Linked DNA regions of Rhinolophus ferrumequinum. The protein of the gene in region 1 interacts with the protein of each later gene in a pairwise test. Links are inferred from orthologs where the notes say so. Each region holds a gene or a part of one and is shown on either strand. Other genes may lie near its edges.

Region 1 (7,102 bases):
CCTGGGTCCCCAGTCCCAGCTGCATGCTGACATCTGGGACGGAACATCCTTGTCTGTGAGGCTGCCCTGGGCCTGGTCCAGGACATCTGCTCCACCCCCCAGATGCGAGGAGCACCCACAGTTGTGACAACCAAGAATGTCTCCAGGATTTGCAGATGTCCCCTGGGGAATGGGATAATTGTTCATCACCCCACGTGGAAAACCACTAGTCTAGACCTCTCGTCAGTTTTAGGGTTCATTTCTGTTGGGTCTTTCTGGAATAAAAGCTGAGATGCCACTGGGGGAATGTGGAATCCATCTCTCTACCAGTCAGTATGCAGGGAGGCGGAACTGCAGGCCAGAGAGAGGCCAGAAATGCCTGCACTTACTTCTCCTCGGAAATGACAGGCCCTCCCCTACAGGGTCGCACTGAAGTATTAAAGATCTTAAGGCATTGAGCTCCCCCGGGCACCTCAGTGGGGTTCACTTCTCCCCGACAATGTAACCCTCTCTGAAGCCTCAACTTATCTCCCAGGAACTGGGCCCCACGTGCTTCCCACCCTGTGGCACATGGAGGGACCCCTCACTGTCCCTGGCCCCCAGCTCTGTGCTCCTCTGCACACTATGCTTCAGACACCCAGGGAGACACTGCAGATGCCACTGTGCTGTGGGCAGATCCAGGCCCAGGGAAGAAACGCACCTGTGCAGACCAGCCCTGCGTCCTCGCTGTGGTCACAGTTGCTCCGACCCCAAGGGCTCCGGGGACAGTCCCTCAGGGCCTGCTCTCCACCTCCGCACCCCACATCATCCATCCACACAGGCCCTGAGCCTGGGCCAAATCGGGCCCCTCCTGGGGCAGCCAGTGCCCCCCCGCAGCCCAGCTCCCGGCAGGCCACAGCTGCGTCACGCAGGTCCCATCCGTCGTCACACACCGTCCCCCAGCGCCCACCGTGCCACACCTCCAGCCGACCTGCACAACCGTGGGGGCCCGAGGCCAGGCGCAGCCGCTCTGTGGGGATGGACAGGAGCCTTGTGTGAAGCAGCCGGGATAAGTGGATTTAAACACCCCTCGTTTTCCATCTAGGGAAACTGAGGCCTGGAGAGGGCAGTGGCCTGAGATCTGCCAGCCTGGCCATTACAGGGAGAGTGAGAATGTAAGTGGGGCAGGGTGCCTGGGTGCTCGAAACAGACACTTGGGTTCCCTGACCGGGTGGGGTGGGGTGGGGGACCAGGCCTGACTCAGGAGGACACGCAGGGGGCCCAAGCTGGTCCAGATCTGCAGAGGGGAGGCCTGCAAGGAACTTACCGTGGTGTGGGGCTCCAGCCATCAGTGCAGGGGCTCTGGTGGACTTGGCCTGCTTGGGAGGCCGGGGGCTTTTCTTCCGGGAGCTGCTCTGGGGGGTCCCAGCTGGGCGGGGGGCTGGAAGAAGAGACAGTAAGGAGGGTGGGAGGGAGCCGCTCAACCCTACTCCTGCCTGGGGGGCTGAGCCAGGACCCTCGGGGTTGGCGAGGAGATGGGCATCTGTCTGCCCCCTGGGCAACATGAATGTGGAAGGCCCCTCTCCCCCACGGTTGAAGCAGGAGGGGACATGGGTGGGTGGGCTCACTGTGTGTCACAGGGGGCTCCTCAGAGCTGGGACTCAGCTCCCCAGACAGCCCCTGCCAGGGGTCCCCATCCAGGAACGAAGGTGAACCGTCCATGTCCCTCGAGTTAGCCACACGCTGACCTGCGGAGAGCAGGGGAGCTCCAGAGGGTGGGCCCTGGGAGAGGCTGGGCCAGGATCCCTGGGCAGTGATAAGTTGGGGTCCTGGAGGAAGACCCCTGGCTCTGGAGGGAATGTTGGGACTTCTAGACCCTCAGAGTGACTGGGCTGAGGATTTGGGGTCCTTACCTGCACAGACAACGCCTGCATCCTCTTCATGGGAACAGACGTGGGCCTTCCACCCTCGGTGGGGGCACAGGCCCAGCTGCCCCTCGCCGCCCCGGCAGGCCAGCTCACTCAGCCACACGGGACCTGCACCCTCCCCAAAGAAGGCACCTCCGGGGGCGGCCAGTGCCGCCCCGCAGCCCAGCTCCCGGCAGGCGACTGCGGCGTCCCGCAGGTCCCATCCGTCATCGCACACCGTCCCCCAGCGCCCACTGTGCCACACTTCCAGCCGGCCCGCGCACCCGTGGGGGCCATCGGCCAGCCGCAACCGCTCTGGGGGAACGGAGGAAAGGGTGTGACATCCTGGAAGCCCTGGGGCAAAGGGTAGCCCTCCAGAGTGCGACTAGGCCAGTATCCTGTTGCTGGTGGGTACCCCAAAGCCTGGGGTCCAGGAAAGTAGTGGTGAGAGACCCTGGTCCCTGCAGGAAGCGGGTGGCTGACTGCCGCGGTAGTTCTGGGGGAATGGTGCCTGAGGTCATCACCAGATGGTAGGTGGCCAGGATCCCAGGGGAGGGCGAGGCTGGGAATGGGATGGGCTTGGAGCTGGGTGAGGCCAGACAGAGGAGTGTTTGGGGACACTTACCAACAGCCTGGATCCCCATCAGAGCCACTGGAAGGGAGGTTGGAGGGGTGGGACACAGTGAGGGGCAGGTCCAGGGGTCCCTTCCCCAGTCTTGACCCCAGCGCGCGCACGCGCACACACTCACACACACACACACATCCTTGCACCTCTGAACCAGAAACCCCTACTGGGAAGAAAGCAGGACTCGAGGGTGGAGGGGCAGGACCCCAGATGCAACAGGTCAGGGCTGGGGACCAGGCCCTTGTGCTCCCCCAGAGAGAGGCCTGGCTAAAGGTCAAATTGTGTGTGACCCCCCCAAAGGGTCAAGCCTGGTGGTGGGGATGAGTAGGTCGCTGGGCCTCCTAAGAGGGTGGGACTGGCATATAGAAGGCTGGGTCCCTGGGCGGTCAGGTAGGGAGGGCAGATGTCCTGTGTCCCCAAGCACCAGGAATGGGCCCTGGAAGAATGGGCCCCTCAATTGCAGGAGCTCAGGGGTCAGAGGGTGGGGCCCAGGCCCCCGAGTCCCCAAGGAGAATGGGTCACTCACCGAGGAGGCAGGCCAAGACCCTCATGTTTGCAGAGTCCAGGGCAAAGATGGGGTGAGAGGGGAGGATCAGGAGAGGGCAGAAGGCAGCCGCCACTGGAGGGAGGGGGGAAGCGCCTGCTGAAGCGCCCTGGACCCGGGAGGAGCAGGCAGGAGCTAGACGCTTTGCCAGGAGCAAGAAAGGCTGCCGAGGAGGCAGCAGGGGACAGGAGGGGGGCGGGGAGGGGGCTGGCCAGCGGCTGAGGCCTGGGGGGGGAGGGGGGTGGCGGGCTGGAGGGAGGATGTCCAACTGCAAACACCCACACAGGCCAGCCAGGCATGCGGGGCGTAGAGATGCTTAGAGGACGGAGGGCAGGCTTCAGGGAAGGGACGACATGGGCGAGGCACCCACCCGTCTGCTTCCTCTCTTATCCAAGCAGGAAAATGTGGATTGGACCAGGGTGTAGGGGCTAGAGGGTAGATTCACAGGAGCTGTGGGCCTTTGAGACCTGGCACAGCTGGGGATCAAGGTTCAGCAGCAAGAGGCTTCCAGCCAGACACCAGGAAGGACTTCCTAGATTGGGAAAGGAGACTCTGTTCCCCAGCGTGGAGTTGGATGCAAAGCCCCCCATCTGAGGGAGAAGTGGTTGAACTTATATGTCCCCCAACCCCGAGGCAACTGGGGTGGGGAACTGGGCAGACCTCAGGTCAAGGCCTGGGTGCTAGAGGTGACTGAATGTGCACACACACTCACTCTCTGGGCACCAGGCAGCTGGGAGGCGGAAAACCTCGGTAATGGGGAGCGTGAGTCAGAGGGCTGGCTAGGAGCGAGGCTGCCGTGAGCTCATGCCTCCCTTTCTCCTGAGCCAGCACCACCACCACCAATTAATGTCAACTCAGGAAAGGAGGAGCCAGACTGAAGGAGGGATTCCAAGACAGACTGGAAAAGGCATCAGAGAGAGAGCAAGCCAGGCGCAGAGCAGTTTCAGGCTTTATTAACAATCGGGTATAAAAACACCAGACAGGTCTGGCCACCCTTCTTAGCAGTCCCTTTCCCCCAGGGAGGGGCCGCCGGCCTTCCTGTGCCCACCCCCTCCTTGCAGGGCCTCTCTAGGAGACAACCCTCCTCGCAGAGGCTCTGCTCATCCCCTCTGGCTCCAGACTCATCCTCTCCAAGCACAGGCATCAAACCCCACCCCATTCATGGTGGGGGCCTCATCCCAGTTTGGGGTGTCCCTGCCCCAACTCCTAACCCTTGGGGAGGCACACTTGCTCAGACTCCTTTCCTCCTCTCTGTCACCCAGGCTGGTACCACAAACGGTGCAGGCTTTGCAGAGACAGACTGGGGAGATGTCTCAGTGCAGACAGAATCTGAGGCAGGAGGCCAGATAGGTTGACCACTCTGAGAAATTCAGACACGAAAGACAGACCTCAGACCTCAGGCTGTCTTTCCCTCTGCAGGCCTCAGTTTCTGGGCCCTGGGCAGGCTGGGGATTCGCACAGGGAGAATGTGAAAGTGCCCGCACACAGTAGGTGCGTACGTTGGAGTCACAGGTTCTTGCTGAACTCCCTTACCAGTGTGTAGCCCATGCAGCCCCAGCTCCCCTCAGCCTGGTAGCCGCAGCCTTCCAGCATCCCTGCCACGCCCCAAGCCGCCACAGCCACTGGGACCACGAGGCGGGCCTGGGGCTCCCCCATACCCCCTGCCCAGGCACGTGCCCGGGACTCGGCAAAGGCCAGCAGCCGCCTGCCCACGCCTCGGCGGCGGTGCCAGCGGGAGACAGAGAGGCGAGTGACCCGGGCCCCATCCCCAGAGTTAGAGCCTGGGGCCAGGGCCAGGACCCCACACACATCACCTGAGCCGCGCACTGCCACCCAGGGCCCCCCTAGGCCACCTGGTGGAGGCAGCGAGCCCCACCGGGCACGCAGGCCGAGCTTCATGGCCACCACAGCCAGGAACACAGGCAGGAGGAGGGCCAGGGCAAAGGAGGCCAGCACGAAGCGCAGGCCGCTGCTGGCGGCCGCCAGGAGCAGCAGCGCAGGCGGCCGTGTCAGGGCGTGGAGGGCCACTCGGTTCTCCGTATCCTTCACAGCAGCCTGTGGGTAGGAGGCGCAGTCAGAGCAGGGGACTGGGCCTCCCATCAGCGAGGGCCCCCGTGAACACCAGGAACAAGGAGAGGGAGAAGACCCTACCCAGGAGGGACTCAGGGTGGGGGCTCCCAAAGGAAAAGGGACTGGGCCTGTGGTAGAAGGACAGGCAGGGCCTGGACCACATCTGCTCTGTGCACCAGCAAACACTACATCTGGCACACTGGGCTTTGAATGAGTGAATGAATGAGTGAGAGAATGAGTGAATGAATTAGGAACTGTGAGGACACCCAATTCAGGAGAAGAATGTGCGGGAGGCACCAGGGAAGATTGAGATCAGACCAAAATGGGCGACTGCCCCCCGGCCAGAAAATGGGCGACTGCCCCCCGGCCAGAAAATGGGCATGCTCTGTTGCTGGAGCAGAGGATGAGTACAGGGCTGAGACCCAGGCTCTGCTCTGAGGAGTGTCGGGGAGGAGACAGACCCCACAGCCCTCCAGCATTAAAACCCTCCTGACCGCAGGGGTAGGCAGAAGGCACTAGAGGGAGAAGGGGCCAAGCCAGAAGTGGCTTCGAAGGAAAAGCTGGCTCACCGTGCTGCCCCTACCCCCAGGTGCCCCTGCTGTACTCACCTTCAGCATCTCCAGCACCAGGGGCTTCTCATCTTCTCTCATCTCCCGCACTGAAAGGTGGCTGGGGGCCATGGCAGTCCCCGTGCCCCCAGGGAGCAGGCGTGCACCTGGTGAAAACAAGCAGATCAACGTCAGGAGGGCACCTCTGGTCTCCAAGAGCCCCAGGGGTGGGGACCAGCAGCAGCATGTATCAGATGAGGACAGTGAGGATGCTTGGGATGCCCCAAGCGAGATCCCACGCAGGACAGGCTGCCCCCTTCACCCAGCCACCTTCCTAACGTCTCCTGAGGTCTCACTCCCCCAACCCGTGGTGTTCAGCGATCTTACCCTAAATACCTTGCAGACACCAACACCTGGCTATACAGGGCCCCCTTCCAGGCTCCGGGGCTTCTACAGGGGGAGGTCATCGAACCCCCACCCCAAGGCCAGGTAATGGACCAAGCTCCCCAAACCCAAGCGTCCCGCCCCACAGTCGCTGCTGGAGCAAGAACCTACAAACACCTCTGCGGTGGCTCCGATTCTTTGACAAGGTATGGGGAGGGAGGACAGGGTCAGGAAAGGGGTCGCCGGCGGAAGTGACGTCAGACCGCGCACGTTGGAGGCGGTGCAGTGTGGTGCCTGCATTCGGTCTTAACTGTTGCCAAGCTTGGCAGGGGGTTGAGGAGGGGCTAGGGCAGGGCGCAGGGACTCTGCTGGATGTGGGGTAGGGAGCGAAAGAGCGATGGAGAAAGGGGACCCGTAAGACGACAGCGGCGGGAGTAGCAGACGCTGGCGGGGTGGGAGCTGGGAGCTGTACTTACCGGCCAGTTGAGGGGGTGCGCACGCTCGCTTTTCGAGGTTCCCTGGTTGCTAAGCAACCTGAGTGCCGGGTGGGGGCGGTGATAGGAGAGAATCAATTCTCATTGGTGCCCAGGGCTTCGTGGGAGGGGCCGCTTCAGCATCCTGAGCCCACCAGCTCCCAAACTGGCTCACCCCAGGGACCTCCGTCCCAACCCACCGGGCTCAGTGACCTTCGGGACAAGCATTCCCCTCCCCCCACCACAGACTTTTCAAATGAGGGGAGAGGTGGAGTTACAGTGAACAGGTGGCAGAGCAGGATTCTAAATTCCACATCTCCCCACTCTAGTGACCACTGCATCCCCTTTTTAATAGTAAACAGAGCCCCACGTAGAAGTGGCTGGCCCCCAAGCAACTCAACTGCGAGCCAGGATGCAAGAGATGAGACTCCAAGCTCCCAAGCAGTTGCTATGGCCATGACGTTGCCCTCCCCCACCCCAAGAAAACAAAACACAGGAGAGGAGATTCTGGTCTTTATTAGAAGCCCAGCCTGCAGCTCTCCTGCCCCCAGTTCAGCCCAAGCAGACAGAGTCTGGGTCTCTGTGGGGCAGGA
Region 2 (7,215 bases), on another chromosome or scaffold:
CAACAGATGTTTACAACATCCGTCCATCCGCTCCAACCAGAAACCTCACTTCTCAGACTCCTCCCTTTTTCTCATACCCTTCATTTAATCACTCAGATCTTCCTTCAAGAAATATGTACACAATAAAATACCCAAAAAAAGAAATACATACACAGTATCCATCATATGCCAGGCACAGAGCTAGGTCTTGGGGCTAAAACTGAATGAGCAGAGGGGGACGCTGTGCTGACAGAGCCGAGATAGTCTGGCCTCCAGTGAGACACTAAGTCCCAACAATTTTATTGTCAAAAAATCTCACATTTGGTCCCTGCTCTTCACACCCAGTGTGGCTGACGAGGGCTAGAGTGGCATTCACTCCTGGCTGACTCACAATGGCATCCAGACTGACTGCTCTGGCGACCGTAGGCGTTTACTCCAGTGCAATCTCAGACAACCCGGGTCTTTCCGAAACACACTTCGAATTTCACTGCCTTGTTTAAAATCCTTCAAAGCCTCCCCCACCCGCCAGAGGATAACTACAAACTTCTCAGTACGTTATCTGAGGCCCTTGGTGAGCTGACCACTCAAGCCACTCCCCTGCACACACTCTAGTCACAATGATCTACTGAGGGAGGGGAGAAGGGGGAGAGACAGAGAGAGAAGGGGAGAGGAGAGGAGAAGGGAGGGGAGGGGAGGGAAGGGGGAATGTGAGCACCTACCACCAAATCTGTAGGTTTTCTCAGACCTCAGACTTTTACATATGCCTAGCTCAAGACACCCTAATTTCTGTGTACCCTTCAACACTGAGCTCAAGAATCACCTTCTCCGCGAGGCCCTGAAGGCCAGAGCGACGTCCTCTCCCAGGTCACCAGCCTGAAACCCACAGCTTTCACAGCAGCCTATCAATCCCTGCCCCCAGCTTTATAAACCTGCATCACAACTGCTTGCACAGTTGAGTAGTGTGTGTACGCATACTGAGCAGTCAGTGAGGGCAACGCTCTGCTCTTCGGGAATAGGGCCTGGCAAACACAAGCCGCCCAACCCATGTCAGATGAATGAATGAAACTGCTTCCTATGTGTCTCCTTCCCTGAAATGACTAACTATTGCTTCCAGTGAGACAGGTTCTTCTTTTGTCTCTGGAAATTCTCTGAATGGGTTTCAAATGGACTAATCTTTTATAGACGTGGAAAAATAATTGTCACAGAATTTTAGCTCTAACATGATTAATTTTCTCGTTAAAAAATAAGCTATCTCCTGCGGGTGGCCTGATGGCGCAGTTGGTTAGAGCGTGAGCTGTAAACAACAGGGTTGCTGATTCGATTCCCACGTGAGCTGCGCCCTCCGCAACTAGATTGAAGGACAACGACTTGGAGCTGATGGGCCCTGGAGAAACACACAGGTCCCCAATATTCCTCAATAAAAGTAAAAAAATAAAATTAAAATAAGGAAGGTGTACTTATCCTGTAGTCAACAATGAAAATGCTTATTAGCACTGATTGACAGTGGCACACACACACCAAATGCTGTATAGCAAGGACGATGGGCATGAACCACACATTTGTGAAGCAGAAGGCGACAGGAAAGCTCCATGTGTGACCTCATTTACTCCTGCAACCTCCCACAGCACTCTGCTCCAGCCATGGTAGTCCTTCACTAAAAATGGCAATGCCCACTGTCAAAATGAGACATCCATATTCCTGACTTCATCCTTTCAATTCAACAAGGATATACGGAAGAACTGGTCTACAGCAGACCAGGCACTGTTCTAGATATAAGTTCCTGCTCTCATGGAGCTTATATTCTAGTGGGATAAGATAAACAAATATGTGTGTACATGTCAGGTGTACACACCAAAACACATAACAGAAGGGAAAGGAAATCTGCGCGTACAATGGCCTCCAGTTTGCCTTTCTTCACTTCTCTGTGAAACTTTCCTTAGTCCTACAAGCAAGAATAAATTATTCATTGGAAAAATATTCAGCATTTACTGAGCATCTATGTGCTAGACAGACACTAAAGATCCTGGAAATAAAAAGGTAAAGAACTCACAGCTACCAACCTCAAGAAGCCCACAGTCAAAACAGAGAGGCAGATGTGTTTATTTCATAAACATTTATATAACGGCTTTGTGCCGTTATATAAGGCACCATACTTAGTGCTTTACAAAAATTAATTCACTTCTCATTACAGCCCTATGAGGCTGCACATATATGGAAACTGAAGCACAGAGAGGTAAAGTAGCATGCCTGAGGTCACACAGCAAGTCACTGGCAGGGCCAGGGCTGGAACACAGTTTCAGCTTCTAAACACCATGCTCTGAGTTATGCCACACTATCATTAAAAAGCAATCGTCCTATAATAACAAAAATATGAACAAGGAGCTATGGTGCACATAGGAGTGGGAACCTAAGAGAACAAGGAACAGCTTCTTAGAGGAGAGAATGCACCGTCTTGAAAGATAAGAATTGCATTATGTACCTCTACTTTGCAAATATTACATGTCTATCCTAGGAGAGATCCCATTATATCCTAGGAGATCCCCTACTGTGTTTTAGAAGAGGGAGCACTGCCTAATTTATTTGCATTCTCTGCAAGTACTGGCACACCAGTAAGTGTTCAACAAAAACTTGTGGGATGTCAGCGCAGCAGTGTCCAGCACGCGAAACAGAGGGGTCCTTCAACGGAGAGCAAGCCTTATATCCTGGCCCCTGCCTCCAAGATCCCAAAGCACCCAGACCACTCAAACGTGGCCACAGACAGCTCTAGCAATCTACCCAGAGGGTCGGATCAAGGCAGAAGAAAAACCTCCAGCCCCACCCTCGTCACCCCCCGCCCCCCTGCCCGCCTCCCCGCAAACACTGGCCCCACCAACTACCTCCGGGCAGCAGCAAGGAGGCCGAGGCAGCGGCGGCTTGGGTGACTGGGATGAAGGGCACATTGAAGCTGAACTCCGTGGCCGAGGATGAGAAGAGTAAATTAGTGCCGGACGAGGAGATGGAGGTGGCACCGCCGCCACCGTTTGGTTTCCTCTCAGCCATGGTTGCGGCCCACCGTCCGTTACACGTCTCGGGGAAGCCGGAGCGGCACCGCCGGACGGAAACCAGTCACACTCGGGGCCAGCACACTTCCGCACTTGCGCACAAGGGTCGGAACTCCGGGCGCTGGTCGGCGGCCCTCCCCCAGTCCGTGTTGGCGCCGCCTGAAATTAACATGGCGGCGCCAGCTTCACTCCCGAGTCCTAGCACGTGACACTCGCAGCCGCTTCCCAGGCACGGTTGGAAGCGGAGTCGGAGGCGGAGGCTCGGGCAGGAACGTGGGAGAGGAAGTCTCCTGGTTCTGAATCAAGGAACGAGTGGACTCTGAAAGTCACGGATTGCGAGGGCGCTCTGGGCTTCCTAACAGTGCGGACAGGAGCTTTTACCTGGCCAAGATTTTGGAGGACTGGCGGAAGCCCGCAGGAGCGGGTAGCAGAGTGCTGCCCACAGACAGAGGAGTGTGGGCCACTTGCAGCCAAAGCCTAGACAAACTCACCCACTCTAGCATCTACATGTCTTTCTGGACTGAATTGAACTCTTGTCGTTGGCCCAGAGAAGAAATGGTAAAACTTTTTAAGCTTTAAAGCCATAAATGAAAAAAAAAATTGTTTAAAAGAGAAACCAGGTAATTGAAATTTAGGGATGTGACGTTTTAAATACCTTTCTGTATCTGTCTACAAGAATCTGACTAGTTCAGTCTCAAAATGCACTGTGGATAATGTGGGTCTAATTGTCATTTTTCATATAGAGATTATGAAAGAAAAAATAACAGATAAGCACCTTCTTGCAAAGTGGGAGAGGCAGATATGAGACCTCAAAAGAAGTTTTGAAATTATGACACACACACCCCCCCACAGCTGTTCACACCCATATAGAACCTGTTTATTACTTAATTCAATAACTATTTAGTGTGCTTACTGTCAGATAATGCCAGGTACTAATTAAAGCATTAAGGATAGATTTTGTTCAGTACTAATTATTGCAATAGGAAGAGGGTACAACATGAACTAAGCAAAACGAAAGACGAGAAACTTTTTAAAGACTGTAAGGCAAAGGTACTCAAGGGTGTTACCCCATGTGACTAGGCCACCTGAGTTTGTTAACTGGCACTTATCTTAAGGAGCAACAAACTTTTATCTTTATGACAGGCAGTGGTATAAGTCAGAGCAAGGTACCCACCAGGCTGGGAGGAGACAGCTCTCTGGTCCTTGAGAACATAGTTCTGGGTGACAGAAGATGAAGATCTCAGGGGCAGAGAAAGTATTTATAATTGCAAACTTTCTAAAGTAACTGCTTTTAGAAGGGGCTCAGGAGACTATGCCTATCACCGGGTTTTGGCCGGAACAGTCAATTCTGGCTGTGTAGAGCTTTCTCAGGCAGGCATTTTAAGTGGGGTAGGGATCATCCTAGACACATGACCTTAAGTTGCTAGAAGCCATACTAGAGTTTGGCCAAGGAGAGTCTTTGTCATTACTACGGGTGGGCAAGGCAATATACTAAACAGTGGGGGTACCATGGTATCTAAGGACACAGGACCCTTCCTTCTTGGATATTGCCTTGTCTGTCAGAAAGACAGACACCTAAACACATAATAATAAAGTGTGATGGAAGTTACAATGTAGAATTTCCCAAAGTGTATTATATGGAATATTGATACCATCAGGGGAGGGAGGTATAACCCTTCTATGGGGAGCAATAGCAAGTATTCCAACAATCAGACCATCAACAGAGGACCTACCTAGTAACACAAAAAGCTTCCCTGAAGAAGAAAAATTAAAGTTAATACCTGAAAGACAATTAGTAGCAATTAACGGGAAAAGCTTGGGGAGGAGGGGTTGGAGGCAGTGGTAAGAGACATTTTCAGATAAAGTTGCAGTGTGTAGGGATACCCTGAGATGCCAGCTTTGGGTGTTAAGAGAAACATAGGTTAGAGTATGGCTGGAGCCCAGTGAGCAACAGGGAGAAAGTTGGGAGATGAGATAAAAAGTGGATCAAGGCCAGATGATGCAGGATCTTACAAGTTAAGAACAAAAGGGAGTCAAAGTAGGGTGGAGAAATAATAACATTTGCTCTGTAGAAAGTCCACTCTGACTTCAGTGTAATAAAACAGATAAGGAAAGAGCAAGCCTGGAAGTAGGACGAGCAGTTGGCAGGCTGCTGCAGTGAATCAGCTGAGCAATGATGGTGGCTCAAATTAGAGTGATGACAGGAATAAACAGAAATAGTAATTCTGGAGAAAGATGTCAGATCGAATAGATGTAGCTTCATTGTTTTCCCTCCTGAAATTGTTGAAAATACAAATGGGTTCATTTGGTATTTTTAAGCGTAAGTTCATAAAGATGAAGAGAAGGGGAGCGGCTACTACGGCAACATTTTGGAAGGCCCCCCAAAAATGGACAAGTACTAGATGATTTAGAAAACCAGTAATGGGAAAACTCCAAGGCAACTTGATTGGCACCATACAATCACCAAAAGTTACAGGACCTGATAACCGCAGGCACCTCTGGCAGTGGCAGTGAAGGGGAAGAGAGAAGTCCTATAATCAGGAGGATCGATTAAAACTGTTTAAGAAGCAGTTAGGTCCCCTTCCCTGCTTGAGTGACTGGACTTCTGACCATCCCCCTTCTAGGAAAAAGACTGTAATTTTTCCCTTCTGGAGAGAGTAAAACAAGAGGAAGATTAAGCAAATATGTACATACTGAATAATAAAACAATTACTCTCACAACCCCAGCCCAATTGCTCTACTCAGCTCCAAGAACACTAACTGCCTGGTCTGCAATATCTAGGCAGGAAATTCGAAGAATCTTGTTTGGGTCTTGTGACCAAAAGATCTGGAGATACTGAAATCAGGGTTTCTCAATAAGACAGACCAGCCAGATCACCCCATGATTAAGCTCACAATCATCAAGCCCCAGAACACAACTTCTACTACCCCAAGTACTTCTTCGCCACTTGCTTTGGGCTTTCGGCCTCATTCAGCTCGAAATGAACTCCAACTGCTTCTGCTCCAATTGGTGGCTCTTGCATCTGCACTGGTGGCTCTTGCACCTGCACTGGCTCCTGCAAATGAAGAGTACAAATGCACTTCCTGCAATTAGAGTTGCTGCCCCTGTTGGCCCATGTGTTGTGCCGGGTGTGCCCAGGACTGCATCTGCAGAGGGGCATCGGACAAGTGCAGCTGCTGAGCCTGATGTGGGGAAAGCCAGCTCCCGAATGGAAATAAAGCAACATGTACAAACTTACATTTTTAAATTTTTTCCTACTATGATGACCCACTTGATACATTCCTGTTTCTATGAAAGATTTATCTGACAGCGTTTCTGGTCCAAAGTCCGTGTACTCAACGCTTCAAAAGGCCAAAATGCAAAACGTCCGAGTTTGGAGTAAGGAAAGATTTATTGATTGAGAAGGCGCCAAACAAAGTAGGAGATCTAGTGGTACTTCAAGTTCATTGTAAGAAAGTACAGAGTTCAGGTTTCTTTTATGTCAAGGGAAGGGGAAATGGGAGAAGCAAGAGGTGACTGACCACTGCAGACATCTGAGCACCAGCAGGGGACCAAGGAAGATTGTGCTAGTTGATGTGAGTCCAGTCATGAGGTCCCTGCATATCTTTGATAAACAATCTTTTTTTTTTTTTTTTTTACCTCCTTCTCTTATCTCCTCTGGAGAGGCACCTACCTTCTGGTAAGGGACTGTTTTTGTGTAACTCAAGTCACAAGCAGAATTCCTCTATTAGCATGGCTATATGCAAGCCTAAGCAGAAGCTATTAGCCTGAAGGGCCTGGGAATAAAGCAGGCTTGAACAAGATGGAGTCAGAGAGGCCAAGCATTTCACTCTGTTTCAACAATTAACTCACACAAACACACACACAAAAAGGCCCATTTATATGCTCTGAGCTCCCAATCACCTTCTTAGTCTCCACACTTTAAACATGATCATCACAGTTGAGAAGATCCTTTAACATGAGATCAAAACAAGAGAGCAAAACAAGACACACACAAAAGGAATAGGAAATGATAACTTAGAAAAAAACAGCCCACACAGGAAGACAAAAACATTAAAATGTCTACCAATGATATCTTCAGAGGGATAAGAGGATTGGCAACAAAGAAACAAGATCAGGGTGTTAATCAAAAAAAGAAATATTCAGGGAACAAAAAAGTCAATTCCCAAAAACTAAAGCAAAAAGACAAACATG

The links.
Region 2: the proteins of SSC5D (region 1) and SEC23IP interact in binary tests that used the Homo sapiens proteins (3 or more experiments, as listed by UniProt). The two-hybrid records come from large-scale screens. The link is inferred for Rhinolophus ferrumequinum from reciprocal best matches to the Homo sapiens genes SSC5D and SEC23IP.

What each region holds. Positions count from the first base shown.
Region 1 is NC_046298.1:48,596,738-48,603,839, reverse strand, and holds the start of SSC5D (soluble scavenger receptor cysteine-rich domain-containing protein SSC5D), read right to left. Parts: upstream 3,176-7,102; 5' UTR 3,042-3,175; coding exon 3,017-3,041; intron 2,518-3,016; coding exon 2,491-2,517; intron 2,181-2,490; coding exon 1,872-2,180; intron 1,707-1,871; coding exon 1,587-1,706; intron 1,400-1,586; coding exon 1,286-1,399; intron 989-1,285; coding exon 680-988; intron 1-679. Other genes in the region: NAT14 (probable N-acetyltransferase 14), read right to left, coding at 4,541-5,089, 5,713-5,784.
Region 2 is NC_046299.1:9,622,427-9,629,641, forward strand, and holds the start of SEC23IP (SEC23-interacting protein), read right to left. Parts: upstream 3,112-7,215; 5' UTR 3,019-3,111; coding exon 2,856-3,018; intron 1-2,855. UniProt on the Homo sapiens protein: Plays a role in the organization of endoplasmic reticulum exit sites. Specifically binds to phosphatidylinositol 3-phosphate (PI(3)P), phosphatidylinositol 4-phosphate (PI(4)P) and phosphatidylinositol 5-phosphate (PI(5)P).